Linked DNA regions of Rhinolophus ferrumequinum. The protein of the gene in region 1 purifies or fractionates together with the protein of each later gene. This does not show direct contact. Links are inferred from orthologs where the notes say so. Each region holds a gene or a part of one and is shown on either strand. Other genes may lie near its edges.

Region 1 (7,231 bases):
ACTCTGGCATCAAAGATAAAATGTTTCTTTTTCATTTCTAACTAATAGGACAAATGCCAAGGAAGGGAATTCCCAAATCAAGAGATGGGAGAGCTGGCATTAGAGAGAAGAAATGCTGAATACTAAATCTGTGCTCATTAAGTAATCGCTAACTCTTAACAGAGCATTTCTTCAGATTTTTAACACCTACCTCTCCAGTCAGAGTTGAAAAATTCTTGCCACTGAGGTAATTCTCAGCTTGAGCTGACTCCTGTTGAGCTCGGCGACCCATCTTGGCCCCCTGTAAAGAGAAATGAGGGACACTGCTGACCCAAATGTCTTTAAGCAACGACGAGGACAAGAATTCTGGGATGGTAAGCAAGGATTGAATTTACAATGACGTGGTGGAGGATGGGGTTTGAATAACCTGAATATATTCTTAGAAAACGCCCCAAACCTTTAACACAAAGCAACTGAAGTCAGTTCTATCTGATAGAAGAACAGGAAATTCATGGGTTAATGACCATAAGGTCTTCTTTTAACTGCCATAGATCTTTTCTACCCCAGAAAAATGCAGCTAGCTATTCCTCTAGAATGGGCAGAGAACTCACGCCACAGCTCAGGGAAGCATGTGTAAAGGTTCCCATGTTCTTATGCAGGAGTTTAGGAAGGTCAAATTTCAAAGCTGTCGGTTGGTGTGAAAATAGTTATCAAAAAGGCATTTTGGGGAAAGAATTCCTAAATTCCATGGCAACTGCCACCAGAGAAATACAGACAGTATTTGCTTTGACGTATACACTAATTGGATTTCCACTTACAGACATTAAAGAAAATCTCTTACAAGAATTTTGAGACATCAGCTTTGGAAATCAGAACACTTCAAATTCTGAGTCATCAAATGAACCATTTACAGATTCCCAAAGTCCTCCTAGGGTAGAGGTTGTGTGCCTCAAATGCTTTCCAGCACATAAACAAAACTTTATTTAAGAACACTAGTGGGTGGTGAAATACTTATATTTTCATTTGTTGGCTTTAAAAAGCTAGCATAATATAAACACTTTTAGATCTTCTGAGATGTAGCTTTATTTCATTCTCATAATAACAGAGACTGGGACTGATATCATTTTACAAATGAGGAAACTGGGGCCCAGGAAGGTAATTAAGTGGCAGACATAAATCTAAGAGCAAAATCTTCTTGTCTTCAAATCTTGAGTTCTAGCCATTATACCATGATGGAATTTCAGTTTAAAATGTTCCAAGAACGGACTGCACCAATAAATTGAGAGGGGTTATATGGGAGCTGCATAAAAACCCTTTATGGTGTGTCTACATTTCAAATTTTAATCCATCATTTAAATTTCAGGGATGGAAACAATTTTTCTGATAATAAGTGGCTCATTTTCTACCCAAGGCAGATTCTATTCCTTCATCCGTGGTAGCTCTTTTCCATTTATCATAGCATTGGGTATCTAAATACAGCATACTACACACAATGGTTGTGCTAAAACAAAAATTCAATGATCTTATCTCTACATGCTGTTTACACATGGTTTCTCTAATAATTAAGTATTTGAAGGTTTTAAACTTTTTGAAGACCCTGTATAAATTCACAGGTATGACTAGTAGAAAAACTACTATCTGATTTTATATATTTTAAATGTATAGTCTGTTTATGGTCCATCTTCCCCCACTGGAATGTAAGCCATATGAGGGAAGGGACTGTATTTTATTCACTGCTATATCCCCAGCACCTAGGACAATGCCTGATACACAGAGGGGCTCCATAAATATTTGTTGAAAGAATGAAGAACTAAGCAGGTATTAAATAGGTACATCCTTAGGTACTAACAGAAAAGCCTGGAGACCTAATATTCCCCTTGGTCAGTCAAACAACCTGCTTCATCTTAGAACAATTTGCAGGATCCTGTCCTTCAGATCTCCCTCAGAGAGGTGCTCCTCTCTGGTACCTTGGAGGACAGTCAGTGCTATCAGAGGACTTCAAAGCACTTAGATTCCACAGCAGAAACTAAAGATCTGCCAAGAGGCTCAATCTTTCAGTAAATGTAATCTTGACAATTTTAAAGGTAAAAAGGCTTGACGGGGCTATGGTGGAATTAAAACAAAAATCACTGAACTTGGGTATTGAATCCAGGTAGGTTAGTTACTGCCTCTACAAGCCTGGGTAAACCACAGCTGCAGAACAGCAGCTGCTAACCTCTTCTAATAACTTAGCAACTCCCAGGCACTGTGTCAAATGTTTTCCGTGCATTATATCACTTCATCTTCACTGCAACTCCGGAAGTAGACATCAACATCTCCATCCTGGAGATAAACCTAGGTCCTGAGAGGTTAACTTTCTTAAAACCCACGCGACAACTTTATATTCCATTTGACCTCTGGGCCTCAGCACCTCCACGTTATGAGTCTTGATTTCCTTACCTATAAAGCCCGTGGGGGTCAAAGGCAACAAGGTCCCTCCCCGTCTGCCTGCCTGCCTTCCAAGCATAAAACAGTGCGGTGTGTAGGTGAACTTCTGGCATGAAAAGTCCGAAGGGAAAGTTCTAGGATGGCTGCAAGTGCGACCCTGGCCGGGGCCCCCCTGCAGCCACTCTCAGAACTATACTTTCTAGGGGAGTTCGGCCCTGCGGCTCCAGAAAGCGGAGAGAAGCCGGGAAATTTCCCACTCGTCTCAGAGGCCGGCGGGGCTGGGATCTGTTTTTCATTTTTGAGGATTTACAGAAAGCAAAGGCCAGGCCAGCAGCAGCGGAGCCCCCCGCAGCCCCGGGGGCGGGGCGCCCCGGCTGAGGCCTCGCCCCAGCGCGACTCCGGGCCCGCCCGCTCCGGCCGCTCGGGGCGAGCCGCGCCGAGGCGCCTCCGGGAAGCCGGGGCCGCGGGGAGCGCTCCTCCCCACCCGCCCAGTCCTGGCCCCGACACCCGCGCCTCGGTCCTCACGTAGGTGGCTGAGCCCCGGCGCCGCTCTTCGCCGAGGTCCAGCAGCAGGTCCTCCATCTCCGCGGCCGCCTGACGTCACTTCCTGGAAACCAAGCAGCCTAGTGGCGTCCCTGACCACGGCTCCGCCCTTCCGTCCCAATATTTAAAGTTAGCCGCGTTGTGCCCGGATTCTATGTGCCATCCTCCAACTTAAATATTTCCTAAATCTGCCTCGCTTGACTTCCGGAAGAAACCTCCAGATATTAAATCCCGCTAAGGCTGCTCCTCTGGGGCGGTGAAAAACTGTTAGTCTTTTTAAAAATACGTTAAGTTATTAAGTGCACAGCACCACTATTAATAGTAGCAATTATTCTGATCCCTCCCATTTGTATAGCTCTTTGCAACGCACCTAGGACCTTCACAGTTATTAGCTCGTGTGAAAGGCATAACAATCTTGTGTGGGAAGCAACATAAGTTCTATTATCTCCATTGGACAGATGAGAAAACAGGCTACAGGGGGTCAGGTGTTAATAAATGGTTTATAACGGAAAATGCAATATACATAATCTCTGCCTTCAAAAAATTTAGAGAGGCTGAACTAACACATGAAGTACCTGAATAGTAATAACTATCAAAAGTCAAGTAATTCCTCCAACAACTCCATAAAATGAGCAGCAGTAATATATCTATTGAACAACTGAGGACACAGATGAAAAGAGGTGGCTTGAGGAAAATCACCTGAGTGTTAAGCAGCAGACCCAGATGGCTGTCTGACACCGTATTATTGGAGTATTTTTCTCCAGCACATATTCCTGGGTGCCAGCCTTTCTCCTAGGCCAGCAGAGTAAGATGGCCTGCAAATTCCCAGTGTGGGGGAAGGAGAAGCTTTCCTCTACTCTTCTAGCTTCTTTCAGCTGGTCTAATAATCAAATCAACATGAGACAGATTAACAAGAGAAAATAACCAAATTTAATTACATACTTAAGTATGGGAACCCCATATACATGGGCAAGTCAGAGACCCGCCACCTACATGAGAAGTTCAGAGATGAAGAGGGAAAAGGAGGTACATGTGACATTTTGAGCTAAGGATAAAGTAAGGCACATTGAGGCTTTAGAGGGAACAAATGTCATTTGCAGGACAATAAGAAGAGCAGGTGTTCAGTAATTAGAGGTTTGCCCTGGCCTATAGATAGACATAGTAGACATAGATATAAAAAGTTATTTCTGGTGATAACTCTTATTATGGGCAAGGCCTCTAATGTAAATTCTTTAAGGGAGAGATAAAAGTTTGTCATGAGACCACAGGGTCTTGACTGTTTTCAGCTCAAAATAATTCACATGCCCAAGTGACACATCTTGGGGAGGCCTGTTTTGAACCCCTTCACCAGCCTAATGGGGCGAGTGAGTTGAGTCTTCATTGACTCTACATATAAGATCCCCAAGTCGACACCATTGTCTGGGTCTCTGGTACTGGTCAGCGGGGACTCCCAGACGACGGGCTCATGGCACTGAAAGTGAGCAATGTCTCCAGTATTACACTGGCAGGAAGGCCTAGATGGCCACCGCTTCAAAGCGAGGGCATGGAAGTGGAAGTGGAAGTAGCAATCCTAAAACTGGATTGCAAGCATTTCTTGAATACTCAGTAAATTGCTCAGTTCAACCATTCATCCACCTATATTGACTGGAGAGGACTGTGCATTTTAGCACCCCACAGCACAATGCCGTTGACAGTCACAGCATTGCTTGGATGTCAGAAGAGTTGAGGTCTCATCCTAGCTCTACTGACAACTACCTGGGGAGCCAGGCAGAGCCTCTCTGGACCTCAGTTTCCTCTCTTGTAATTATTCTTAGAGATTACCCCAAAGATCGTTTATTCACTAACTCTGATTCTCACTGAGGATACTCTTCGATTTTAATCTGAAGAAACATTCATTGCTAAAAATCCGAGATGGATAAAATATAGGCTCTGATGAGTTCCTTGTTCCCTTCTTTCTTGGCACCAGAAGAGGAAGAAGGAATCAGTCTTTGGATTTTTTTCATTTCTTGTGAGCTCATAGCCATACCACCACCAACTTATAACCACTTTCCAAACCTTCACTCCTACTTCTTCCCCAACTTCCTGAAAGCAAGAGGTGATCAACGCTCACTCTGGACAGAAAGAAGCCCCAGAGTAGTGGCTTCCAAAACTTGCTGGACGCCAGATTCACCTGTGAAGTTTGTTAAAAGTACATATGCCAGGGCCCCATCCCGGGAGACTGATTTAGTAGAGGTGGAGTCCAGAAGAAAGTACCTTCGATAATTTTCCCTCCCATTTTGCAAGTTTGCTTAAAAGCCTCAGTAAGCCCTTTGCTGCTTTAAAACTGCAACATCTATTTTAAATTGCAACCACCACCACCGCCCACCCCCTCCACCCCTCACCCCCACCATACACACACTTCTTATCCTTCTTCCCTGTTTTGTTTTCTACCATGGCACTTACCCTTTATCATACTACATCATTTACATATTTATTTAGTTGATTGCCTTCCCCACTGCCCCACCTCCACTTCTAGAGTGTAAGCTCCATTAGGCCAAGGGTTTTGTTTGTTTTATTCACCTGCATATCCAGAGAGCCTAAAACAGTGCCTGGTATATAGTAAACACCAAAAATATTTGTCAAAGGATGGCTGAATTCCAGAGGCAGTAAAGCATAATAGTTAAACTCATAGACTCTTGCAATAGACTCCTCAGTCCAAATCTCAGTGTTGACACTGGTTATAAGACCTTAGGTAGATTACTTTTAAGTTTTCTACACCTGGGTTTTCTCATTTGTTATGCAAACGACAATAATGCCTACCCAAACTAGAGAGCTTATGTAAAATATCACCTCCACCACTCCAAGCAGTGGACTTTTAAGCTGCTCTGTGCCTCAGTTGCCTCCAGTGTAAACTGATCAACCGTGGTCTGGGGACGCAGTGAACATTCCTTCAGTTAATGGCCTAGGAGCCAGGAGCAGGAACCAGACCTGGCAGGAAGGGTCCAGGAAGGCCGGATGAGGTGGCTTGGGGTGGAGTGGAGGGGAGCAGCACTGATTCCCAGGAAAGTGATCCATTCAGGAGCAAGTCTGGGGGTGGGGGGGGGGGGGACCGGTGGAAGCGACGTGTCTTGCCCTCCCCGAGCTTCTGGGAAAATACCTAGAAGCTTAGGCTGAGACGAGGAACGAAAGAAAAGAGAAAACTTCCCCTCACCCATCTGGGAAATGGGCTCCTGCCAACTGCTGACTTTGCGCTCACTGGCTCAGTTCCCTGCGGAACCCCCGGCGGGGAGGGAGGCTGCGAACATCTGGAGGACATTTCTGCAAAAGAGCCGCTGCAGAGCAGGGCTCGGGGGAGGGAGAGTTGCACTTGTACGCACGTCGGGCCGAGAGGGAGGCTACTCCCCCAGGCCTTCAGGCTTGTTTTCCTCCGCCTTTCTTGCAGCCCCTTCTCCCCAGCCCCAGCCCCCAGCCCCCAGCCCTCCTCGCCTTCCCGGCTCCGACTCGCGGAGCCTCGGTCACTGACGGCCTCGCCTCGCCAGAGGGCACCCTCGATCTGCAGAAAAACGCCACCATTTTCAGTGCCCCTGGAGCATCTCCAAGCTTCAGCAGGCTGCCCGACTCCAATCTTGTCAATGAAGAATCGTGGCCAGGATCGCCGCGGAGCTGAACCCAACTCCAAGCCCGCAACTAGTCCGGGCATCGCCCCAACCGAGGGTGGCACGGCCGCCCCTGCCCAGGCCCCGCGCACGCCCGACCCTGCACAGTATCGGGCCTGGCCCGGGAAGGAGTGAGACTCGCGGAGGAGAGGGACAGACTGACAGCTGGAGAGGGCGAAGGAGTTGGGGGAGAAGCAGGGAGGGGATTCATCGGAGTAACTTTCCAGAAAAACAGTCAACGTGTAGCAGGAGTGACTCCAAGAGGGGAAAAAAAGTTCAGTTACCACGTCGAACTAGAGGACTCGCAAAGTATTTTTCAAATGGACTCGGCTTTTCCTGTGCCTGTTTAAAACATTAAAATTGTGCAGCAAAAGAGGCTGCGTGCGCTGGTCCCTCCCTCCCCCACCCGGGCCAGAGACGTCATCGGAGGGAGGTATAAAATTTCAGCAGAGAGAAATAGAGAAAGCAGTGTGTGTGCATGTGTGTGTGTGTGAGAGAGGGAGAAGAGCGAGAGGGAGAGAGAGGGAGAGGGAGAGGGAAACGCAGGAGGGAGAGAAAGGGAGGGAAGCAGAAAGCCAAGTCCGAGGCAATGAGCAAGGGAGGCGAGAGATAGGGGAAGAAGCATGAGAAAGAAGGAATAACAGCTT
Region 2 (8,005 bases), on another chromosome or scaffold:
CAAGTTATTTTTTTAAAGTATAAGTCAGATTATGTCACTGCCCTGTCCAGAACCTGTCAGTGGCTTCCTATCACATTAAGAATAATTAAATCCAGAGTCCCTAACCTTGCCTGTAAAGCCCTGTGTCACATGAACTGGTTCTCATCTACCACTCTCCAGTTCAGCCATGCTGACCTTATCGTTTCTTGAACGAGTCAGACATATTCCCACCTTGTGGTCTCTGCATTTACTATTCTTGCAGCCTGGAATATTCTTTGCTCACATCTTTCTATTGTTTGCTTGTTCTCCTTTCTTCATTCAGGTCTTTGCTCAAATATCACTTTTTCAGATACTGTGTTTCCCCGAAAATAAGACCTAGCCAGACAATCAGCTCTAATGCGTCTTTTGGAGCAAAAATTAATATAAGACCCGGTCTTATTTTAATATAATATAAGACCAGGTATAACATAACATAACATAATATAATACCAGGTATAATATAATGTAATAATGTAATATAGTATAATACCTGGTCTTATATTAAGTTTTGCTCCAAGAGACGCATTAGAGCTGATGGTCCGGCTAGGTCTTATTTTCGGGGAAGCTCGGTAGGCCTTCCCTGACAACCTTGTCCAAAATAGCACTCAGTCAGCCTAACCCCTTATCCCGCTTGATTTTTCTCAAGTCTTTGAAACAGGGACAGCCTGACCTCTGAGTCCCAGCAAGTGCTTGGCACTCAATAAATGATCCTGGAATAAATGGTTATTCATGTTTGAATTCCCAAAATCCAGCATGGCACTTAACATATGCTCGATAGATGTTCATTGAACAAATGTTGAATGTAAACTACTGTGTTTTAAGGTGGTAGTGTAGGTATAGGAAGCTGTGCTCCCCACAACCTTGAGGTGGGAGTGGTAAGTTGATAGTGGGACTGGTTGGACGAGTATGAGGAAGAGCTTTTGTTTCTTCTCTGCAGGCATGGGTTGGAGTGGAAGCTTCTCTCCGGACCTGACTACAGCCAGCACCATGTGGTTACTAACTGCTCTTCATTCACCTATTGATGCCTCCCAGAAAAAAACGCCGCCAAACGTCCCAGAAAGCCCAGCTGCTGTTCCACCAACAGCCACTAGAGGGCCCCAAACACCGCTATGCATCGCCACAGTATCCCATCACCCACACTGTGCGGGCACCCAGCAAGCCCATTGACCACAACACTATTACTTCCTGGGTAAGCAGTGGGATTCCTACTTTCACTTTTACTCTGTTAAGCTTCTCAGAATACTGACTTTTCTGCTCGCTGAACCAGGACCTCCAAAGAATAAGATTCATGGGAGCAGGGACAAGGAGGCAGTATACTCTTTCTGTCTGTTGTCAGCCATCTCTTCTGCTATATCTTCTTTTCTAAATTCCAACTGAGGCATAGGTTAGTTGGAATTGGAGTCTTCCCCCCACATTCCTCTGAAGGAGTTCAGTATAAAAGTTTCATTACCCAGTACCTGGGTGAGAAAGCCGGATAAATGGCAGAACTAGTGAAAAATGAGATTGTTTTCTGAGCTTCATGAGAGGTATAGAGTATTTAGGTACTCTATTTACTCGTTAATAGATTGAACCTCAAATAAACCCCACAGAAATGGCATGGGTCATATTTTGACAGTTTAAAAGCCCTGGGAAGAGACTATAGCTACCAAAGTCAAGGAAGTAGTACAGCAAAAGCATAAACTCTGCTTAGGAGTGCTTAATAAATATAACTTGTTCAGGATTGCTTAGACAAGGCATAATACTTGCTCCACGATAGTAGAAACTTAAATGTTAGATTGCCCAAATCTTACATGCCTTTCTATTACTGTTCCATTCATTAGACAGGTATTTTTGTTTTGTGTCCATTACTATAGTGGGTCCCATTTAGGATTCTGGTTGCTGGTCATTAGATGTAGTTGCCTACCTAGGTTTATACTTGGTACTTAGCTATCCTTGCCTTTTTTTTTGATCCTTAGGTATCACCTCAGTTTGATGGAACAGCAGAAAGCTGGTTCCCAGCCAACCGGAAACGGAAACGTCATCACCGAGACCAGGCAAAACATTCAAGTCGAAAATCTACCACCTCCAAGTTTCCACAGCTACCATTTGAGAGTCCACAGTCTTCTACCAGTTCAGCCACACTTGGGATCCCCTTAACCAGGGAGTGCCTCAGTCAATCAGAAAAGGACATTTCCGGAAGGCGCTTAGTTCCAATGCTCAGTCCCCAGAGCTGTGGGGAACTGTCAGCACATGCACTTCAAAACTTACCTTATGTGTTCATTGCACCTGATATCCAGACCCCAGAGTCATCTTCTGGAAAGGAGGGGCCCATTCCCCCAGATCAGAGGGAAAATAGCCTGTCAAACTACTCCCTTCACACTAATACTCCCGAGAGCCCGGATCCTGGGCCTGTTCTGGTTAAAGACACTCCTGAGGAGAAGTATGGGGTAAAGGTCACATGGAGGAGACGACGAAACCTCTTTACTTACCTCCAGGAGAGAGGGAAGCTGAGCAATAGCCAGTTCCTTGTGAAAAACTGACTAGATTTCTCAGACAATAATCTCAAGAAATTGATTGCTGGTTTTCACTGAGTTGCTAAAGTCACTTTTCCAGCTCACAGAAGGGCACATCAGTAGAATAAAATGGAAATAATACCAATAACACCAATAGAAGAAAGGTATTTTAACTAGAGCCCTGGAGTCATAAGGGAATTCGGTTCCCAGATTTGCTTGTTTAAGTATGTTGTTATAAACAATTTTTAGTGTATAGACAGTTCACTTTATATTTTTCTTGTATTAACAGTTTAAAATTTTTAAATATCTTGTAGTAACTGTTTAAAATGTGTTTGTAAATAAATGGCCACAGAAAATTTTTCGAGAACCCTGATTCCCACTGCCAGTATGTGCCAATACTGCCCCCTCCATAATAGGTCTTCCTTGTTTGCTTTTACCACTACTCATTTATCCTTTAATCACCTCATTCAAACTAATAATTCATTACACATTTTTGAGTACCAACTCTGTCAGGCTCAGTGGCAGCTTCGTCTATGACTTGATGGATGAAAAAACTCAAAGCAAGCTCTGACTTTTTATAGTTGAGCTGCCACCTGTGCAACCTTGGCTCATGTGCTGAAGAAAGAGCAGCAAGCCGTGTTTGGCAACAGTAGGATCAGGGGTGGTAAAGGGGACATGTGTAAGTTACTTAGGTTTGCTGTGTTTCGATTTTTTATTTCCAGCCAAAGCTGTAAAGAAATAAGGTGGGAAAATGATTTCTTGGGGTAACTGTTTAAAATGTATATAAATAAATGTGGAAACTTTTCAGAGAATACTAATTGTAATTAACCTTTTCACTGCGTTGATTGATTTCAAGTTCTCCAAAATGTGTCAAAAATCCACAGAAAATAATTACAGTATTTATATTTTTAAGTAAATACAGCTAAGGTGCGACACTTTATTAAAAGAAATGATTAAAGTATAAAAATGTCCTATTGTTATTCATTTTTGAACAACACAAAAATATAGAAAAATGTGCATCTGCTTTCCTAAACTTCCTTTCTGGAGCCCTGAGCTCGTGGGGTAAAGTCAAATGCCCCAGTTAGTGGCATGGAAATGTCATTGGACTATAGACGAAAGTCGCAGTGAAAATGTTAGTGCAGTACTGCCCGGTCAACAAAATCCTTTGACCAATACAAATAGCATCTCACGCAACTCCATTCACTCAGCTTTAAGAAGCTACTCTGTGTCAGGTCCAGTCTCAGGTAGACGAGGATTATTCTGTTTGTTATAGATGGGAATTGGAAGCACAGATAATGAACCATGTTCAGTGTCACATAGCCAGTGGAGGCTGACCCAGCAAGTGCAACGCTCTGCTTTTCTAACTTGTGCCAACCTCTAGGCCTCTTAGAAATTCAAAAGCAATGTGGAAACAGCTTTGACTTTGGAATGCTATAAACGAAACTCAATCTGTGATAACTTCTGTCAGGATGTTTTGTAGGGACTATAATGCTGTATGTAAGTTGTTGGAGAGAAAGGAAGTGATGGTTGAGGACAAGATTTATTGGAAACGAGAGTACAGATGTAGATAGTGGATTTCCTTAAGGTGTTTGGATGTCTGAAGGTGGTCCATAGGTAAATTCTGTGTTTCCCTGAAAATGAGACCGGGTCTTATATTAATTTTTGCTCCATTAGGGCTTATTTTCAGGGGATGTCTTGTTTTTTCATGTACAACAATCTACATTTATTCAAATACAGTCATGTCATCTTCTGGAACATCTTCATAACGTACTAAATGTATCCATCTGGCTGAGATCTTAACTGGGGCTTATGTTCTGGGTAGGTCTTATATTCAGTTAACACGGTAGTAAAGACTCTTAGGAGAGTGTAGAGCAGGTCTAGGAATGCCTTAAAAGCTTGGGCTGGAATCGGGGAGGCTGAGGGAGTTCTGTGCTGTTGGAGGGCCAGAGCAGGTAACTCTAAGATGCATTCCAGTGGGAATGACTGCTGGCGAGGCTACAAGTGTGGTTCCTGGTTAGGCTCTGGTGTGTCCGGAAGGGATCCGACTGTGAGGGAGCTGGCAGAAGTCTGTAAACCCTAACATTACAGACCTCGGGAAGCGCTCTGGGATGGTTTCTGTGTGCAAACCGCGGGGGTGCGGGGAGGCCGTTCCATGTGTGGCGGTTAGTGGGGGTTGGGCGGCTCCTCCGACACACTGGCTTCCTGGCGGCGGGAGCCAACGCCGCTGACGGAAACACATTCTTCCATCTCGGCCCCTTCTCCTCTCGGCGAGCTCTACAGGGATCCAGAACTAGCGCGTCATCCCCGCGCGGGCGCAGGCGCCGGCGCTGGCGCCTTTAACTCGGGGTTCCTCTGTTCCTTAGATACCCTCCCGCAACGCGGCAAGAGCCAATAAGAGAGGAGCGGCGGGCCCGTGGGCCAATAGGCGGTGGCGACAGTGCGTGGTGCGGTTGTCAGGGGGCGGGGCCGGTTGCTGGCCAGGCTTGCCACCCTAGCAGCGGAGTAGGTGGCGGGTTCTGGACGTGCTGGCCACTTTCTGAGCTGCGGTGATGGAGGCGTCGCGCTGCCGACTCGGACCCTGCGGGGACAGGTCAGAAAGGGGTGGTGGCTGGTCTCATCTTGAGTGGGGCGGAGGGCCGAAGGGAGACAGTGGCGGTCCTCTTTGGAAGCTCTGAAGGACAGGGCGGTGGGCTCAAGTGCGGGAGGGAGGGACTGATTTGCAGCCTCCTCTCCCCTCCGCGGCGGAGGACCCCTCCCTTTTCCCGGGAGAGCGGTGGGGAGCGGCGGCTGCACCGGGAGCAGGGACTTGGTGTTCAGTCCCTGCTTGGGAAACTCCGGGGAGTTTTCGTTGTGAGCTCGCCTTGCCCTCTGCGGGCCTCGCTTTCACAAAACGCGTTAGCCCTGTGCCTCACGCACCGCCCAGGAGTGTCATACATGAGATTGGATGAAGTCTGTCCCGGGGTCATCGAAGCGAAATTTAATAATTTGCTCTAAAGCCATCGCTTTCGGCCGGCAGAGCTGAATTCTGGAACAGAATCCGAGGGCTGAAAACGCAAAACTATTCTTTTGCTTCGATGTCCTTTATAGTAATTATCTCTTAGTCAGGATTGGCTGTCTTGCTTGCAACGTACCAAAGCTCCCCTTTCTCTGCCATGTCCCTTTTTTGTACCTCGGCCAGAAGTCAAACGACCCGAAATCTCAATTTCTTTTTTGCCAGCTTAATGAAAAGTTAATGGGGAGCGGCGCGAAATCACTGCTTTAAAACTTTGGCATTGTCTGAAGATTTAAATCTTCCACCTCAACTCTACTCTCCTCTTTTTAGACCGTTACCACGGCAAATAAAGATTTAGCATGTAAGGATTTAGTCTGATATTTAGAATAATAGGTATTTAAACAATTCTAAACCATTTAAAACCGTCGCGAAGGAGGCATTGGGGTAAAGAACACTCATTTTCTTCTTTCATCAGGTTTTATTTACGTAATAACTGCTGTGTGGAATTTGTTCACTGCACTTTTTTTCAAGTCGACAGAAAAATAACCTACATTTTGCAAGTATAAATATGGAGGTGCTCGGAGGATGTCAAGTTAAAATTGAGCGTTTTCGTTGAATTCAGATGGTATTTCTTCAGTTGTGGGCACTCAGTAAATCTTAACTGACTGAATTTAAGGCAGTGAATTTCATGGGTACGAGATGTTTGATATGACTTATGATTTTGGTGTGTGTTGGGGAACATGGAATTGACTTTGAAATTGAGAATTGTTAATTTATTGGACCTGAAGTTTCAAGGGATAATTTTAAAGTTTTCCCCCTGTCTTCTTCCCAAAGAAACCAGCTCTTTAATTTAGAAATTGACATCAAAGGGGAATGTGTGAGTCACCAAATGTTTCTCCTGCCCTAGGTAATATTAGTGCAGCCTCTATTACTGTTTAACTCATTTGTTGTTGAGAGAGAGAGTGGAATGTCTCTTGCTTTTTTTGGCTCCTGGTTGTGTGTTTAATGTTTTTCATGAAATACATTGAAAGAGTTTTTGGCATTAATACCTTTCGATGTGAAGTATAGCATCCAACTTTTAAGTTTCCTGTGACTTTTTTCCTTCTTTGAATTATGTGACTGTTTTACCATGAGGCAGATTTATTTTCAACAAAGTAGAAAAATTATTAACAAATAAACTTCAAATATTTTTCCTATATCTGAAACATTTAGTGAGAATTGGAGCTGGAATTTGAAATAACACCCAGGACCTTTGTTGAGCCTACTAGGCATTTGACATTATAGATTCCCTGGAGATGACAGTGGTTGGCTGGTGCTGGAATGTGAGCTCGCTCTGGCCTCTTGTTCCTGATGAAGAATTGAACTTGTGGTAAGAGAGACTTTGCAGTATGATGTGACCTTGTGACCCAGAGGTGACTAAGAAAGTCCTCATCTGTCGTTTATCCATATGCCACGATTTCTCTTTAGAACTATGAACAGTAGTGGTAGCTGGAGCTTCTGTCTTGGCCAGGCTTGTTATCCTTTTCATGTTCTCCTTTTTAAAAATGTTTCATCAGATCAACAAATTGTTGGCAAACAGACTTAGCCAGTGCTTAAAAATTCTTAGATTAACTAATACGTGACTACAGTATGTTTGGCAAATGTCAGAAAGTACAGTAAAGGCCTGATAACATCTAACATGCATGTGTTTCACCAATTGTGAAGGCTACATACAGACCTAGAAAGGATAGAAAGTAATTCATTTCCTTTCTTCCAAGATCTTCCTGTCCAAGCAGACTGACTCAGACATTTTTTGGAATAGTTCCATTTCTGGCTTCTCGTCTTCCTTTCTGTGGAAACTCTTGTTTCCTCTGGATCTGTCCCCATTAAAAGAAAAGGTTAACGTTTCTTCTTACCAAGAGGAAAAGTATGCTTGAATTACTCAGAGAAGTAGTTAAAGCTGCCTTGCTTCTCTGTATTTGAGGACTTTAGGACTCAAAGGGCCTTGATAATTTCCTGAGTTCTATTTGAGAGTAGTTCCGCAGTGGAATTGTTAAGGCTTCTTTCAAACAAGAATTTTCTGTCATCGCCTTTCGCTCTATTTCCTCTAAGTCAATGCACTAGGAATAAACTCTTTGTACTGCTGAATCTATTCGGCCTCATCAGACGTCCTTAGTTCTTAATAATGAAACCTGCAACATTCTCCTGGCCTGGTTAAAGCTTAAATCCACTGATGCCTGAGAGAAGACACATTATCCATATGCTGATTGATATGCTGTCTTTATCCGCTCAATACTTGGTGTGAGTCTTGATAATGGGGTTGTCATCTCTGCCCCTTTCTTTGCCTTAGAACTTCTGTGAAAACATTAATGACGAGCACTGTATCATGAGTCACAGGACCTCTGGAGGATCACAGTTCTGAAAAGAATTATAGTAGTCCTTTTATGGTTCATAAGAAGATGGCACTTGCTGTTTTACCACATGGCACTGTAATGAGGGTGAGACACTGGAAGCTTCTACTGGG
Region 3 (7,377 bases), on another chromosome or scaffold:
GAGAATGAATGAGAAAGAAAGAGAAAGAAAGAGAGCAAAACAGATGGAGCCAGGCTCCATCTTTAGAAATTCTGTTTCAATAAATCTGGGTTGATGCCACCCCAAGTGACCTCCGCCCTAACTAATTCTAATAGCAGATATGATTGAGAACTACTACTCTATATGAACACAAGGGAAGTAATACAAAAATTTTCCCCTTGAGAAAAAGAATCATTAACTTGTAATAGACTCAGGACTAATTTTAATTTCTTAATTTCCGTGGCTATTTGATTCATAGCCATGTATTTTCAACTAGTCATGCTTGGCATAGAACTGGACAAAAATAATTGGCTTAATGTTGAATATTCAATTTTAAGTTTAAAATTAATGATATATAATAGCAATTAATAATTTTTAAATGACATTAATATTTTTAGCTACTGATATTAGTTAGAAAACCAAAGGGAAATGTCTTCAATTTAGGATCCCCTTATCAGATATTACCTTTGAATACACTATCTTTCCCTAGTTATTAATTGCTATGCTTATTAGACCTCATTTCTATATGAGTAGGGAATTATTATTTCCTTAAATGGCCATCATTTTAAAGTCAGGAAGTCTAAATGATAAAGGCAAAAATATAAGATGATCAAATACTGGCATTTACTATAAATGTAGTGTGCAATAAGAAAAACTCTATAGTTATATCTATTTATTTCCAAAACCTGAATTCCATCTAAATTTCCTAACTCTTTTATCTGTATTTAGCATTAAAGGTCCTTATTTTCCATCCCTAATGCCATGCTATCCCTCTTTCTCTTCACCTTGGAAACTCTTCTCTATCTCGCTCTCTGGAAAAACATTTTTCTGATATTATAGCAAGTTATGTTATTCATTTTTTTCAGTATCATTTTGACAAGTTTCATGCAATCCTTACAGTTTTTAAGCAGATTCTGACAAACATGCTTTTTCATAATGCCATACTTACGCAAATAAATTATTTTTCTGAAGATTGCTATAACAGATATTTCCTTATACTTAAATAAGCAATCAACTTTAACATGTCTAGCTTTAAAAATTAATAGCTCTGTGCGCTCTGGAATTACCCTCTTCCACAGGTTGTATAATGGCTTGAATAACTCTTCAATGAATCTCTCCTAAACAAGCTGACACCAGATCCTTTCATGTTCTGCTTCTTAAATTTTAGAATGGGAAGCTGGATTTCCCTTCTTTCCCAAATATGGTATTACAAAAGATTTTGCATTCAAGTAAGGACACAGGCACTTCCAAACAATACAAATATTTCCCAAAGACTACCACAAAGAAAAATATTTCCATTAATTTTTAAGCTCCATTACAGGTAAGAAAAGCGAAGCTGATAATTATCATTACAATGGCAACCATATTAAAATAGGTAAATGTGTCAAATTAACATTTGTTAATTTGTACACCTTACACGATGTTATACCAAATACATTTCAATTAAAAAGAAAAGTGAAACTGCGGAAGTTAAGTACATTATCTAAGTTACTAAGTAGTTATTACTGGGTTCAAATCACGTTGTCTACATCTTCCACTGTACTTCATCACTTCTAAATTCCTTTTTTGTGTTATCCACCTATTGAAATCCTACCAATTCTGTCAACCTAATGCGAAAAACAAGAATAATAAAAAACAGAAAACTAGGCATTAATTGGGATCCCTGATTTATATAAAATAATAACAAATGCTTCTTGCAGCTTAAAAATAATAAATTAAAAAGTGACTTTCAGAAGACATACCCTAGGAAAAGATTTGTTACTTTGTAAACTAAATGTAAAAATCATATAGACTGTTTTTAGTATAACACATATGACAAAAAGCAAAGGGGATTTAGGAAACAATTACTAGAGATCAGTGTAATCCACAGATGGACATAATGAGCATAGCTTGGGAACATGTTAGAAAGGCGAATTCTCCAGAAGCACCCCAGAACTGCTAACTCAGAGACTCTGGGGATGGGGCTGGCAATTTGTGTTCACCAGACCTTCCAGATGATTCTATTACACACTAAACATATCAGATACACTGAAGTCAGAGAACCAATGATCTAAATGATTTAGCCCAAAAGCAACAGAAGGGAGTTGAAGAAGAAAGAGATGACTTACTTCGTCTGGGAAAACTAAAAACAATTTTATTAGGATTGTTGCTTTTCTATTGCTCAGGACTGAGCAGGCTAATAAATGTGTTATATTTACTATCGGACCTAAATAAATGTGTTAAATTCACACACATACCATAATTATGAATACACAGTAAAACTGGCATATATAGGGGCAAAAACTGGAAATGGGCCAAAAAGAAAAGTGTGTTGATATCAAGATTTTGTTTTCTTTTTTTCTCTTCTTAAATAATTTAATTTTCCCTAAAATCAAATTAGGTAGGTACTGTCCCATTTTAGATTTGTGTGCACAGATTCAAAGGAGAAAATTTGCTCAAGGTCAAAGAACTAATAAATGCCATGAACAGGTTTAAACTGGGGGTTTATGACCAAGCTCAATTCATTATTACACCATGCAGTCCTTAAGGGAATCATATTTTACAATGGAAAAACATTTAAATATAGAAACATATTATAAGGCTATGCACACACAAATAAAGCCCTGAAAAATCCAAATGTGTGCTTAATACTCATATTTAAAGGTTAAATGTGCAATGGCCATTACCTACCAGTTTTGTTTAGTAAATAGGTTTTTAAGAAAACTATGTTCACAAGTCTTCAAAACTTGTAAGCCAATTTCCTGAAAATACATTAAATTGACCATATTATTATGTAATTTCATTTAACTTGAGGTAAAAGTGAATGTTAAAAATGAAAAGATAACAGCACAATTTTATAATACAATAAATAACAATGGGTACAATATATCAGTAAGTTCTAGCTTTCCTAAATGGATGTCCACTCTTGCCAAGAAAAAGAAATAAAGACCATCCAGACTGGCAAGGAAGATGTCATAATACTTAATATAAAAAATTTGCAGATGTCATAATATTGAATATAGAAAATTCCAAGGAATCCACTAAAAACTGTTATAACTAACAATTGAGCAAGTTTGCAGGATATAAGTTCAATATACAAAAATCAATTACACTTCTCTACAATGGAAATAAACAATCCAAAAATGAAAAACTTTAAAATTTATGTATAATGGTATCAAAAATAAAACAAAATACCAAAGAATAAATTAACAAAATAAGTAAAAGATTTGTCCACTGAAAATTACAAAATTTGTTTAAAGAAATTTTAAAAGAACAAAAATGTAAAGATATACCACATTTATAGGTGTGGGGACAGAGTCCCAGAGAGCAGTTTCCAGGTTCTCTGCCTCACGTGGAAAGGTGCTTGCTGGCTCTGGTAGTAGATGGCCATCAGCTGTGACTAGTTGGCCATCAGCTGTAATCAGTTAGCCATTAGCCACTGGTAGAACTGCCCGTGGTTATGCCGGCAAGAGTGGGTTGCAGTTAGGAAGGGGTTGGTTGGCAAAGAAGCTGACAGCAGGCTAGGGATTGTGTGGCTCCTTCCTGTGTCTCCAACCCAGCCGCCAGTGAGAATATAGTGGTATGACTCCCTTATTTATGGCTCTGTTGATGTTCCTTTTTGGCCTCACAATATCCTGTGTTCTTATGCGGGGAGCAGGACCAGACACCCCCGCATGACAATAGGTCACAGACTTTTTTTCCCCCCAACCTTAGGGGGAAGGCATAGTCTTCCACCATTAAGTTTGATGTTAATTAGTTATGTATTTTTTTTGTAGGTCTTTTTTGTTTTGAGGTTACTTTCCATTTCTAGTTTGTTTTTATCATTAATGCGTGTTGTATTTTTAAGGGTATGGGATTTTGTCAAGTGCTTTTTCCCCGTCTATTAATGTGATCATGTATTTTTGTGATCCATTATTCTATGCCACTCAAACAGGTTCTTAAGAGCTCATTTTTCATGCCAACTTTAGCTGGCCAATTTAGTGGGCCTATTAAGACCTTGGAATAGACTGCCTCTCACATCTCATTGTTTCTAACCCAGAAACCTGGAGGAAAAAAAAGATGATACTCATCCCAAGCCCTCTTTGCATGTACTAAAAGTATTTACCCTATGAGCCAATTCCCGCTTTGTGCCAACATTCAGCACCTTTCTTTTCTAGTCACCCTGGGCTTTTTACTAGCCATGAGCCGAAATATACGCAGGCGCCTTTCACAGAGCCCGCCTTACGCGGGCGAAGTCTCCAGGTCTTATCCAATCAGAGCCCGACAGGAAACCGAGGCGCAGCAAGGACTCGCAAAGCTGGCGTCTTTAGGCCTTGCTTCGCTGGCGTCACGTGATCACCGTGCCCGCCTTCCGCCCTGGAGCACCTTTTGAGGCAACTCCCTTCAGCTGGTGCTCGCTGATTGGTCATTGCTAGCGTGGTCTCCTGGGTGACGAGAACGCGTTAGCCGTTTTGGAGGAGAACATGTACGCCTGCGCTCTCGCTAGATTGCGAGGCCCGCGGAGCCTTTGAGATGAAGGTAAGTAATTTACGAAGCCCCCGAGGGCGGGAAGGCGGGACCACTAGCCCTTCCCAGCCGGCGGAGCATCCCCTTGACGATTGGGACAAATGGCCCCCTCCCTCATTCTTAGTGCTGAAGGAAGCGGAGTGACCAGGGAGGAGGAAATGGGGACGAAGTTGAAGGAGCGAGGGGAAAGGAAAGAAAATAGAGAAAGCGGAGAGGAAGGCCTCTTATTTCTGGAATCGCGACCGGAGTTGAAACAATGTGAGAAGAGGGAACTCCGCCACGGTCGGAAACGAGCCGACTGGATCTGAAGAGACCCCGAATTTCCCCCGGCAGAAGGAACCGGTCCAGTGACAGCGTTGGCAGGGTCGCGGTGAAATGGACTTATTCGGGTGCCAGGAGCTGCCTCATTTCTTACAGCGAAACCCCTGGCAAGCCGCGCAACTGCTCAGCGCCCTAAAAAGAGTGAAAAGACTCTGAAAGAATAATCTGTAATTGTATTGCTTGTGATTGATCCTATTTTCAGATCTCCTGGTGGCGAATGTGTATTATTCACGGAAAAATCTGCACACGCAAGTTTAGACGGTCAAGAGTGTCATCTGTACGCAGTGTTTCTAGGTTTGGGCTTCTCATGAACCCCACTCCCGGGCCACTGGCTAAAGCTCCCTTCACCTGCCCGCTTTACCACAGCAATACCTCCCTGCCCCGATCTTGCAAAGAAATGGAAAGCTCAATTTAAAAATTATTTTCTACGTCCTAATGCTTCCTTGTGGCTATTAGTGTGGAAATTGGAGCTGACAGAATCATAACTCACATTTCTGAAGCTCTTCACAATTTTTGAAGTTATCATAAGTGAGGAGATATTATTCCTGGTTTACAGTTGAGAATTCTGTGCTGAGGCAATTTAAACGACTTGCTTTAAGTCCTACAGCTAATAAATAAAAAGCAAAATTTAAACCTTGGTTTTATGGTTGTGAAGCTAGCACCATTTGCACTGTACTTTCCACTGTACTATATATAGCTCCTTTGAAGGAAAATAATGTGTAAGATAACAGCTAGGGAAAGTCTACCACTAAGCTAATGAAATTCAAGTTTAAGGATCCCTTGCTTGCATGAAGGGGTTCCAGGGCAGTGTGGTCACAAAATTGTAAAAGTAAGATGCTTTTATACTCTTTTTTTTCTTTAAGGGCGGCTTCATGCTCCAGGAAATTGGATGCACCTGTGATTATAGCACAGCTCTGTTTTCAATAGAGGTGGATTTCATCTCTTTAATTTACAAAATGCCTATTGATTGATGGTTAATTTTGAGCATGGGAATAATTGCCACTCAGACTATTAAGCCATGTGTAGTATGTAAACTTAGTATGCCTAGATGTGGGCATCACTGTTTAATCTGTAACTTAACCTAATATTAAAATCTAAATTTTTTTCATTCAAGCTCTATGTTCCTCGATGTTCTAGATCAGCACTGTTTGATATAAATATGTGAGCTAATGTAATTAAAATTTTTTAGTAGCAACATTAATATATTTTTAAAGAAACAGGTAAAATTCATTTTAATAATATATTTTACCCAGTAAATCCAAAATATTATCATTTCAACATGTAATCAGTATAAAAAATTACCAGAGGTATTTTGCTTTCGCTCTTTCATATTCTTTGAAATTCGATGTGAATTTTGTGTTTAAAGCACATTTAAATTTGGTCTACCCACATTTCAAGTCTGCAATAAAATTTCAAGTCTACCTGTGGTTTGTGGCTTCCATAACCACAGTTCTAGATTGTTGAAGTGAAAATAATGATTTTTCGATTGATACATTGTCCGCCCAATAGCCAAATTAAACACTTAATCATGAAGTAAATATAACGATTGGGTAAATGAAGAAAATAATTTTGAAGGAAGTGTATACATTTTGTATTTATATCATGGTTAAGATTTTTTAAATGGCAATTTTGTTAAAGTTAGTCTCCAAAAATCCATGCCACTGATAATTAGCTAAATTCAAGTTTAAATTATTTTACTCTTTAACATTTATAAAACATGAAAATTATACTTTTTTTTTAAAAGAGCACTTTTTAAAAAAAAAATTTATTGGGGAATATTGGGGAACAGAGTTTTTCTCCAGGACCCATCAGCTCCAAATCGTTTTCCTTCAATCTAGCTGTGGAGGGCGCAGCTCAGCTCCAAGTCCAGTCCCCATTTTCAGTCTTTAGTTGCAGGGGGTGCAGCCATCCCCTGCGGAAATTGAATTGGCAACTTCTTGTTCAGAGCTCCCGCTCTAACAAACTGAGCTATCCGGCCGCCCTGAAAATTATACATTTTTATAAAATTAATATTCAAAAACTTTCAAAAGCAAGAAGGTTTTATAATGAGCTTTCCCCAATATATTGAGGTCCGTATTCTACCAACCAGATTGTGATTTGTTTGTTTGTTGTATTGATTGATTGATTCATTAATGGTTTTGTTTGTTATATTGTTGACTTCTTTTGGATAAACCCTAACATAAGCCTTCACCATCCTGAGTCCTACTGTTTCCATGATCATATTTTGACATCGTTTCTGACCAACCCTTAATTGTATGTTTTCAAATATTTTTTAGCGTGTTTTCTCCCTGCTGGAAAAGACTTGGCTTGGAGCACCTATCCAATTTACCTGGCAAAAAACATCAGGAAATTACCTTGCAATAACAGGGTAAGAAACCAGTGAATGTTTTAAATAAATTATCCTCACTCCAAATGGTTGTATGCCCGGCACATAACTACACCATCTATTCAGGTAGAAGTTGTGAGATGGTGGTATGGTGGGAAAAGTAATATATTTATCTTCATTAGCACCAGAGTTTATAGAAGCTTTTCCCTGGTAATAGCTTTTTAGAT
Region 4 (7,798 bases), on another chromosome or scaffold:
ATGCTGGTTCCTTAAATATTAAACGTGGAATTGCCATGATTCAGAAATTCCAGTTCTGGGTAGAGACCCAAAGAATTGATAGTAGGGACGTGAACAGGTATCTGTACACCAATATTCATTATTCACAGTAGCCAAAAGCAGCATTATTCACAGTAGCCAAAAGATGGAAAACAATCCAAATGTCTACCAACAGGTGAACGGATAAACAAAATGTGGTATATTCCTACAATGCATACAACTCAGCCTTAAAAAGGAAGGACATTCTGACACATGCTACAACGTGGATGAATCTCGAGGACATTATGCTAAGTGAAATAAGGCAGACACAAACGTAAGATTCCATTTCTATGAGGTACCTGAAGTCGGCAAATTCATCGAGACAAAAAGTAGATTGATGTTTGCCAGGGCCTCCTGGGAGGGTGGGGACATGTTTAATGTACACAGGGTTTCAGTTTGGGAAGATGGAAAAGGTTCTGGGGATGATGGTGGTGATGGTTGTACTACAATGTGAATGTATTTAATGCCACTGAACTGTATTCTTCAAAATGGTTAAAATGACACATTTTATATTATGTATATTTAACAACAAATTGTGCAAAAAAGATTATTCAACACCTGCAAAATTCTATCACTCTATCAGAGTAGGGAATGGACTATGCCGTTTGCTTTTAGCAACGCAGTAGTTCTATCAGAGGGAAACTTGAAGGCTGTTTGGATCTAGAGAAGGAAACTGTTTAGCGAGAAGCTGGAACACATGGAGGTACAAATGAACAGTCACCTGCCAAATGTTTACCTTTTTCTTATGAATATAGCTTGAATATTAAACAAAGGCACAATTTCTGAGGTGGTGCTCTCGCCACCACAAACTGCAGGGCAACTATTCAGGGCTCCTGGTAAAGCAGCCAGGTACTAGTTGGAGGTGCAGGAGGGTTGGGGGACTGCAGGTAACTCCAGGGGTTACCTGCACACACCCATTACTTAGGGGACATCTACACTGGTCAGGACTCCGATTTCTTTAAGTCCTAATGCAAACCTTCAAATAAAGCCATTAAAAATGAAAACACACCAGATAAACACCTGGCGATTTAATACAGCAAAGGAAATCCTTTGTGTTTGAATGTATTGCCGCCAACCAAGCGTCTCAATTCTGGACTATGGGAAATTTGTTACTCACAAGTTCACAAGTTTACTTTGTGAAAATATTCCTCTCCAAAATGAGTAACATGTCAATATTGTAATGATGGAGAAAGAATTATAATAGCACTTGAAAAAGTTAAACCTGATTTCCTCCCTATTTTTTATTTTAAACATCACTTTGTAATAAGCATGTATGCTAACAGATCTTTACATTCCTTTTCTCCTGTCTGGGGCTTTTTTCCCAGAGGCTCTGTCTCCCCCAAACCCCTCCTTTGGGTACTCAGGAAGTCTCCTTTCCTCCAGGGAGCTCTCGCACTTGACTTGTAGGTTGTTTGTGCTTCTACCCAGTGTCCCCATAGAACCCTGTACTTCTTCATGGCTGCATTTAGCGTTTATTATAAATGTGTGTTTGATCGGCCATCATCCACTCCCTCTAGATTATGTGCTCCACAGTGGGGGACTGCTGGGGCCTCCCCAGGCCCTTGCACAGACAGGCCTTCAATAAATGAATCCCTGATGAAGATATTAGCAAGGAAAGCTGTAAAAAGTGGGTTACAGGCCAGGGTGAATGAGTACATTTTTATGCCACCTAGGATTGTTCATCATCCCTTTCACCTGCATTTGAACATTTTTCTACAATGTATAAGTATTATCTGAGTAATCACAAAAGTTACCAAGGAAACACGAGGAGAGATGACTAACAATAAAATCATTGCCAATGACATCTATTAATGGCATGAGTTCAGACAACAGAGCACTTCTCTTCCTTAAAACAAATGCAGGGTCTCTAGCACATAAACGCCTTTGGTAAATGTATCAACTTTGGGGAAAGAAAAAAAGTTCCATTTGTTCGAACCAATTTGCTCTTCTCAGCTACGGTCCTCCAACATACGGCCTCCATTAAACCAACTTTTGGGAAAGAATCTGTTAAGCTCATTCAACCGAGCGGTTCGTGGTTCTAAGGCTAATTTAAGTTGCATTGCTGCTTGGAGATGCTGCACGAGGGAACCCGAAGGACTTTGGGGCAATAGGCGCTGAGTGGAGGGGCGTCGGGGGCAGGAACTAGTGGCCACCCTGCACAGCTTCATCCTCTAGGCCACAAGCCCCAAGCCTCAGGACGTGCGGGGTCAGAGCTGCATCCCGAGGACCTGAAGGAAAGCCATCACTAGTTGGGACGGTGTGGCTCCTTTGGGCCGAGGACAGGCCGCGCAGAAAGTTGGTTTCTTATTCTCTCCCAGCCCCAGGTTACCGGGAGCTCTGCCAGCATCGCCCACCTCTCAATCCGGTCTTCCGCCGGGGCTCACACAGCCACGCGGCCCTAAATCGGACTTGGACTGCACCAGATGTGGCCATCATCTCGCGCTGACCATTCTGGACGCCGCGCGCGGAACCCCTAAGCCTTGACCTACCCGCGAGGGGCCGCGAGAGAGCGGCCGAGACCGGATTTCCGGACGAAAATAAGCTGGGAGGGCACGGGATGGGGTCCCGCTCGCCTAGTCGTCGCCCTCTTCCTGGCCCCCGTCCTCCCACCCCACCGCCCGGTCCCAGCCCCTTCCCGTTCCCGCCCCGTCGTCGCCCGCCTCCCGGGCCCCCCACCTCCAGCACCACCCGAGAACCTTCTCGGCCCCGCCTAGTCATCGCACTTCTCGGGGCTCCCGGCCCACCCCCCGACGATTCACCCACCTCCGACCCCTCACCCCCCAGCCCCCGGCCGCCCTCGCCCCAGACCGCTAGTACCTTCGCGGGGCCGCAGCGCCGCCTCGCGTTGCCAGGACAACGGCTGCTCACGGAACACGAAAACAGCCGAAGATTAGCGACGCGGACGCCGAGCCCACCCGAAGCTCCCCGAGAGGCCGGAAAGAGTCGAAGAAGATCGGGAGTGTCCGTGCAGCGCGGAGGGCGAGATTTCTCTGCTGATCCCCGCCAGCCTCGAGCTCCGCGGTCCTGCGGGGCAGCTTCCCCCCCAGCGTAGCGACGGTCAAGAATCAACAACGCTAGCTCGCAAAGAGGGGCTAAGAGGCCAAATGATTTATAAAGTCACTTACCGTTCTGCGCAGAGAAGGGAAGCTGGTGAAATTCTTCTAGGGGTGATGGCGATGCAAAGCCTGTTTTGCGACCCGTTCCCATAGTTATACCTTTCCAACCGCGTTGATTCATCAGGAAGTGGAGGAAAGCAGCAGAGACTATGGTGGAGAAACGGAACATCATTTTATTTAAGAATCTCTCTTGTCTGACTACTCTTATTGCTCGATCTTCTGGACTCCAGGCTGTTTCTATGCTCTGCTTGTCTGATCTTAAGGAGCAGGAGTTGGTTCAAGAGTATTTCTGAGAAAAAGCAATTCAATTGATTCAACATACTTCTTGAAGTTATTAGGTAATTTATGACATGCATATGCGTTCAACGCTTTGGGCGCCCTATGGATGCCTTTGATGAGATAAATGGTAGCCACTGACTGGTACGAGTTCATCCCATTAGGTAATGGGATGGGTTGGGTAACCTGATTAGGTTTGGGTAACCTGATTTCTTGGCGGCGGACTGTATTCCAAAAGGCATTAGCAACACGCGCTCTGACTTTACGATCAGTGTGGTTAAACTAACTTTGAAATTAACTTTGAAAAACAAAGCAAATGTCATTTTAAAAAGTTACTATAGCAAAAGGTAGCAAAAAGGTCCACATGATTAAATGAAAATCAAAAGGAAAATGTGGATACTACTGGATGAGACGGAATTGGTGCCAGCATACAAGTAAGATTCTATTGTTAAAAACACCCTTTTCATAAACACTAGAATTTTTTTATTGAATAAATTTGACATTTACACAAAATAAATTTGTGTAAATTTAGGGTATACAGCGTGATCTATATATTGTAATAGCTCATATAGTTTATTCCATTACTAATTGTAGTACAATATTGTCTATATTCATTATAGTGGTCATTAGATCGCTATGGCTTCTTTTACTATTTCATACAAGTTTGTATCCTTAAACAACTTCACTCTTATTCCCTCCCCATAAACACAAGAATTTAAGACACTCCTTTACCTCCCTAACGAAGAAAAAGGGCCTAAATACTCAGCACCACCCACTACGCTAAAGAGCTTCAAAAGCACACGCTAAATAAAGGGTGTGTTCATCTGCCTCAGTTGCACTCTTACACTTTTTCTTTCGCGCCAGATTCAAGATTCGGAGCTGAGGCGGCGTTTTCTTCTCACGCATCCGTCAACACGTCCCCAGCCAATCATAGCCCTGGCGTTGATTTTATTGGCCGTCGATCCACCAATCCAGAGAGACGTACCAGCCCGCAAGGACGCTAGACGGCGTCACAACATTACCCGCGTCGCAGTCCCTCCTCCCGCCCCCGCCCAGCGTCCGTGCGTGCAAGCGCGCTAGCTCGCTGCTGGCCAATGGGAGCGCCTCTAGAGGGGTGCGCCCGCTGAAAACTTTGGGCGTGCTCGTCCCCGCGCTCGTCGCCCCTCCCCGGTCCGCTGCCCGGGCCCCGCCCCGCGCACCACCTCTGCGGTCTCCGCCGGCCGCCGTAGCCGGAACTGCTGTTGAGCGCGGCTCGCCGGGTCTGCGGGAGGCTGCGCGGCTGCAGCACCGGCGCCGGCAGCCCAATCAGCCGCACCCCGGCCGCGGAGGGAACGTGCCGGGGCTACGACTGTTGCTCGGCGACTGTACCCGAGGCGGCAGTACCACATCGGAGTCGCGGCCTCGCTGCAGCCAGCGCTCGGGGCCCGGGGCTGCCCAGCCCGGCCGGATCTGCGGGCGCCCGGGAGGCCCCCGGGGGGTCCGGGAAGCCAGGCTGCTGCGAGGCATTGATGAAAAAGGTGACCGGAGGCTGGGACTGGGAAGGGATGGGCCACGTCGACCGGCTGTCACGGGAAGGCCGGGCTCCAAGCTGAAGCAGGGCTGCGGGGGAGCGGCCTGCATCTTTGCGGCGGTGGTTACGCACGCGGTGCTTTGTCGGAGCGATTCGGGGGAGCCCGGAGCGAGAAGTGTTGCGTTGACAGCGCGCTTTGTGTGCAGCCAGAAATCGGCCCGAGAGGAAGGGTTTTGCTTTTCCTTGCCCGAAACGTGACAAACGGTGTCGAGCCGGGATTGGGCTGGAGGTGATTCCACCTCTGCACGATGAGGAAGTGAGGTGGGAGGTTTTCGGTAAAAGGTTTTCAGTCCCCGTGTTTTCCTTTTCCCTGAGGGGAAAACTCTGAACTGTGTTCGTATCCTTTTAATTTTGAAAACCCACGCCCTTCAGTGATCAGTTTGTCTTCCAGTAGTCAACCTTGCAATCGGGCAGGCTGCTTCTGTTGTGGCTGATGGATGCTCTGCCTGAGCCCTGGGTTGACTGTGGGTCGCTTGGGGACGCCAGACCCCTGGAGGTAGGGTTTCCCCACATTATAACCCGGAGCAAGGCCTTTTGAGATGTTTTCAGGTATCTTAAGGAGAAATGGATAGGATGAGCAGTGAATAGTGAGAATGGCTGTGCAATGAAGTTCTTTACGTTTGCATCTTTGTCTTGCATCGGTCTATTCTTGGGGCAGTCTTTTTTAAACTAGCATGAATTCAAACGTGTAGGATCCCTTACCGCAGACGAAAATTGTGCAGATCATTTTGTGACAGGACGTCAGAGCAGTCAGAGGTCTTGCTGTGGTTTTTCGCTTGATTCCAAATCTTTCTCCCGAGAGGTCCTTGGCCCGGTTACTGTATTTTGTTGTCAGCCTTGATGCCTTGTTCTGGTTTTTCCTTTTAAATGGAAAGGTCATGGTCCTTCAGCAGTTGTGTTGAGCTTGTCAAACACACTTTACTTTGGGCACAGCATCAACACCTGTTGAGGACTCGTTTCTCTTTCTTGCTTCCTCGCTTGCACACGTTATTATTTCTGGGCTTACCCTGGTAGATAAGTACCTGATTCTCTTCCTTTATTTTTGAGTGGGTCAGCTTTCTGGGGGTGCAAACATTTAAAGAGTCATCGCTTTTTGTTGTCGTGACATTTCACACGGCAGTGAGTACCAAAGTTAATGCAAGAAGTGCATTAATGGTTACCAAGAGTTTTCACACAGTTCTCTTCTACCCAGCCTTGCATTTGGACCTGGACGTAACTGTGCTGTGTCCCTTTCAGGGTTGGCCCCAACCTGTTCAATGCAACAGGCTCCTTTGTTGCAAAAAAACATTTTTATTTCGTAAATCCCCGTAGCAGCACACATCTCCCATCCCGGGAAGCAGGATTCCCAGAAACCCCAAGCTTATTATTCTTTATGTCTGTTTAAAAATAAGCAGGCGGACAGGCAGCCGCGGGCCACTATGGAGTTCCCTGTGCACGCAGGACACTCGGCGCCTCTCCCCTGCCGGGGTGGATCCGAGGCCCTAGACCCCGTTCAGGGGCCAACTTCGGGGGCCGCCGTGCGGGGCAGGTGCGCGGGCCCGGAGCCCCGCGCGTTTTGAGGGGTGGGGAGGGGTGGGGACGGGGGGCGCGGGCGCCGAGGCCCGGCCGGCCCAGGCAGCGTGGGGAGCGAGGCCAGCGCGCAGGCTGCTCGCCGCGCAGGCCATGAGCCGCGGCCCCTCCGGGTAGGTGGCTCTGGGCCGCGCCGCCGGGACCCCGGGACCCCGGAACCCGAACCTGGAACCTCAGACTCGGATCCCTCCCGACCCCGCCGGGCTGGGGCGCCGCGCGGGCAGGGCCGTCCGGGCGCGGCCACCGAGCTGCCGCCCGCCGCCCCGGCGCCGCTGTGTCCTGGGCCCCGGGGTCCGGCCGGCGGTCCGGGCAGGGGTTCGGGGTCCGGGACGGCGGGCTCGACCGGGCGGCGGCGGGCGGGCCGCGGGAGGACCTGGAACAAACAACGGCGGCCATGTTGAGAGGGAGGCGGGCGGCTAAACTTCGCGGCGGCTCCGGGCCGCGCCGGCCTCACCGGGGCCCCTCTCCTCTCCCGCAGGATGACAGTGAAGTTGGGAGACGGCGGCGGCGGGGAGGAAGGGCTCAAGAGGCTGGGCAAGAGGGCAGCCGATGAGGACGCACTGGAGGGAGAGGGGGCCGGCGGCGGGGACGCGGCGGAGGACGGCGGTGGCACAAAGAGGGACGGCAAGACCCCCCGGGGCGGTGGCGGCGGCCCCTCGGCCCCCGCGGGCGGCCCGCAGGCCCCATCCCCACCGCCCGCCTGCCCCCAGGACCAGCACCACTTCCTCCGGTCCAGCGTGAGGCCGCAGAGCAAGAGGCTCAGGAAGGACTCGTCCTGCGCCGGGGGGAGCAGCGGCGCTGGCAGCTCCGGGCCCCGCGGAAAAGGTACGGGGGACCCCAGCCCCTTCCAGGGTGTGCAGTCCGCTCGCCTCCTGGCCTCCACCCCAGTTCCTGATCCCGCTCTCGCATGTGTCCAGTATTCACTTGGGGTCGCACTCTGGAGGGGACGTGCCCCCTTTCTCCTCCAAAGTGGCTGTTTCCTTCTATTTTTAAACTCTGCTAAGAGGCTTTAAGTATCCTTTCTTTGGGCAGGTACAATAGATTCCCGAAGGTTCGGTGTTTTTAATCTCAAAGGATCATTGATGATTTACATGGTAGGCTCTTTTACACAGCAGACAATAGTTTAGAAATGGAGAGAAAAAATACCTGGGGTCTCTCTTTGCCAGACCGTGGAAATACAACAAAGGAATGGGTTTTTGCAACTCCTTTG

What was found.
Region 2: the proteins of IFT43 (region 1) and TULP3 purify together in Homo sapiens (affinity purification with mass spectrometry; 5 studies listed by BioGRID and IntAct, counting the BioPlex papers as one, with this or other methods). This does not show direct contact. The link is inferred for Rhinolophus ferrumequinum from reciprocal best matches to the Homo sapiens genes IFT43 and TULP3.
Region 3: the proteins of IFT43 (region 1) and WDR19 purify together in Homo sapiens (affinity purification with mass spectrometry; 3 studies listed by BioGRID and IntAct, counting the BioPlex papers as one, with this or other methods). This does not show direct contact. The link is inferred for Rhinolophus ferrumequinum from reciprocal best matches to the Homo sapiens genes IFT43 and WDR19.
Region 4: the proteins of IFT43 (region 1) and IFT140 purify together in Homo sapiens (affinity purification with mass spectrometry; 3 studies listed by BioGRID and IntAct, counting the BioPlex papers as one, with this or other methods). This does not show direct contact. The link is inferred for Rhinolophus ferrumequinum from reciprocal best matches to the Homo sapiens genes IFT43 and IFT140.

Annotation. Positions count from the first base shown.
Region 1 is NC_046289.1:22,841,321-22,848,551, forward strand, and holds the start of IFT43 (intraflagellar transport protein 43 homolog), read right to left. Parts: upstream 3,017-7,231; 5' UTR 2,989-3,016; coding exon 2,932-2,988; intron 281-2,931; coding exon 191-280; intron 1-190. UniProt on the Homo sapiens protein: As a component of IFT complex A (IFT-A), a complex required for retrograde ciliary transport and entry into cilia of G protein-coupled receptors (GPCRs), it is involved in ciliogenesis.
Region 2 is NC_046293.1:87,867,591-87,875,595, reverse strand, and holds the start of TULP3 (tubby-related protein 3), read left to right. Parts: upstream 1-4,991; 5' UTR 4,992-5,059; coding exon 5,060-5,100; intron 5,101-8,005. Other genes in the region: RHNO1 (RAD9, HUS1, RAD1-interacting nuclear orphan protein 1), read left to right, coding at 1,040-1,207, 1,974-2,537. UniProt on the Homo sapiens protein: Negative regulator of the Shh signaling transduction pathway: recruited to primary cilia via association with the IFT complex A (IFT-A) and is required for recruitment of G protein-coupled receptor GPR161 to cilia, a promoter of PKA-dependent basal repression machinery in Shh signaling.
Region 3 is NC_046288.1:61,049,559-61,056,935, reverse strand, and holds the start of WDR19 (WD repeat-containing protein 19), read left to right. Parts: upstream 1-4,376; 5' UTR 4,377-4,509; coding exon 4,510-4,515; intron 4,516-7,100; coding exon 7,101-7,192; intron 7,193-7,377. UniProt on the Homo sapiens protein: As component of the IFT complex A (IFT-A), a complex required for retrograde ciliary transport and entry into cilia of G protein-coupled receptors (GPCRs), it is involved in cilia function and/or assembly.
Region 4 is NW_022680357.1:3,409,297-3,417,094, forward strand, and holds the start of IFT140 (intraflagellar transport protein 140 homolog), read right to left. Parts: upstream 3,005-7,798; 5' UTR 2,875-3,004; intron 2,565-2,874; exon of another isoform or gene 2,412-2,564; intron 1-2,411. Other genes in the region: CRAMP1 (protein cramped-like), read left to right, coding at 7,068-7,413. UniProt on the Homo sapiens protein: Component of the IFT complex A (IFT-A), a complex required for retrograde ciliary transport and entry into cilia of G protein-coupled receptors (GPCRs).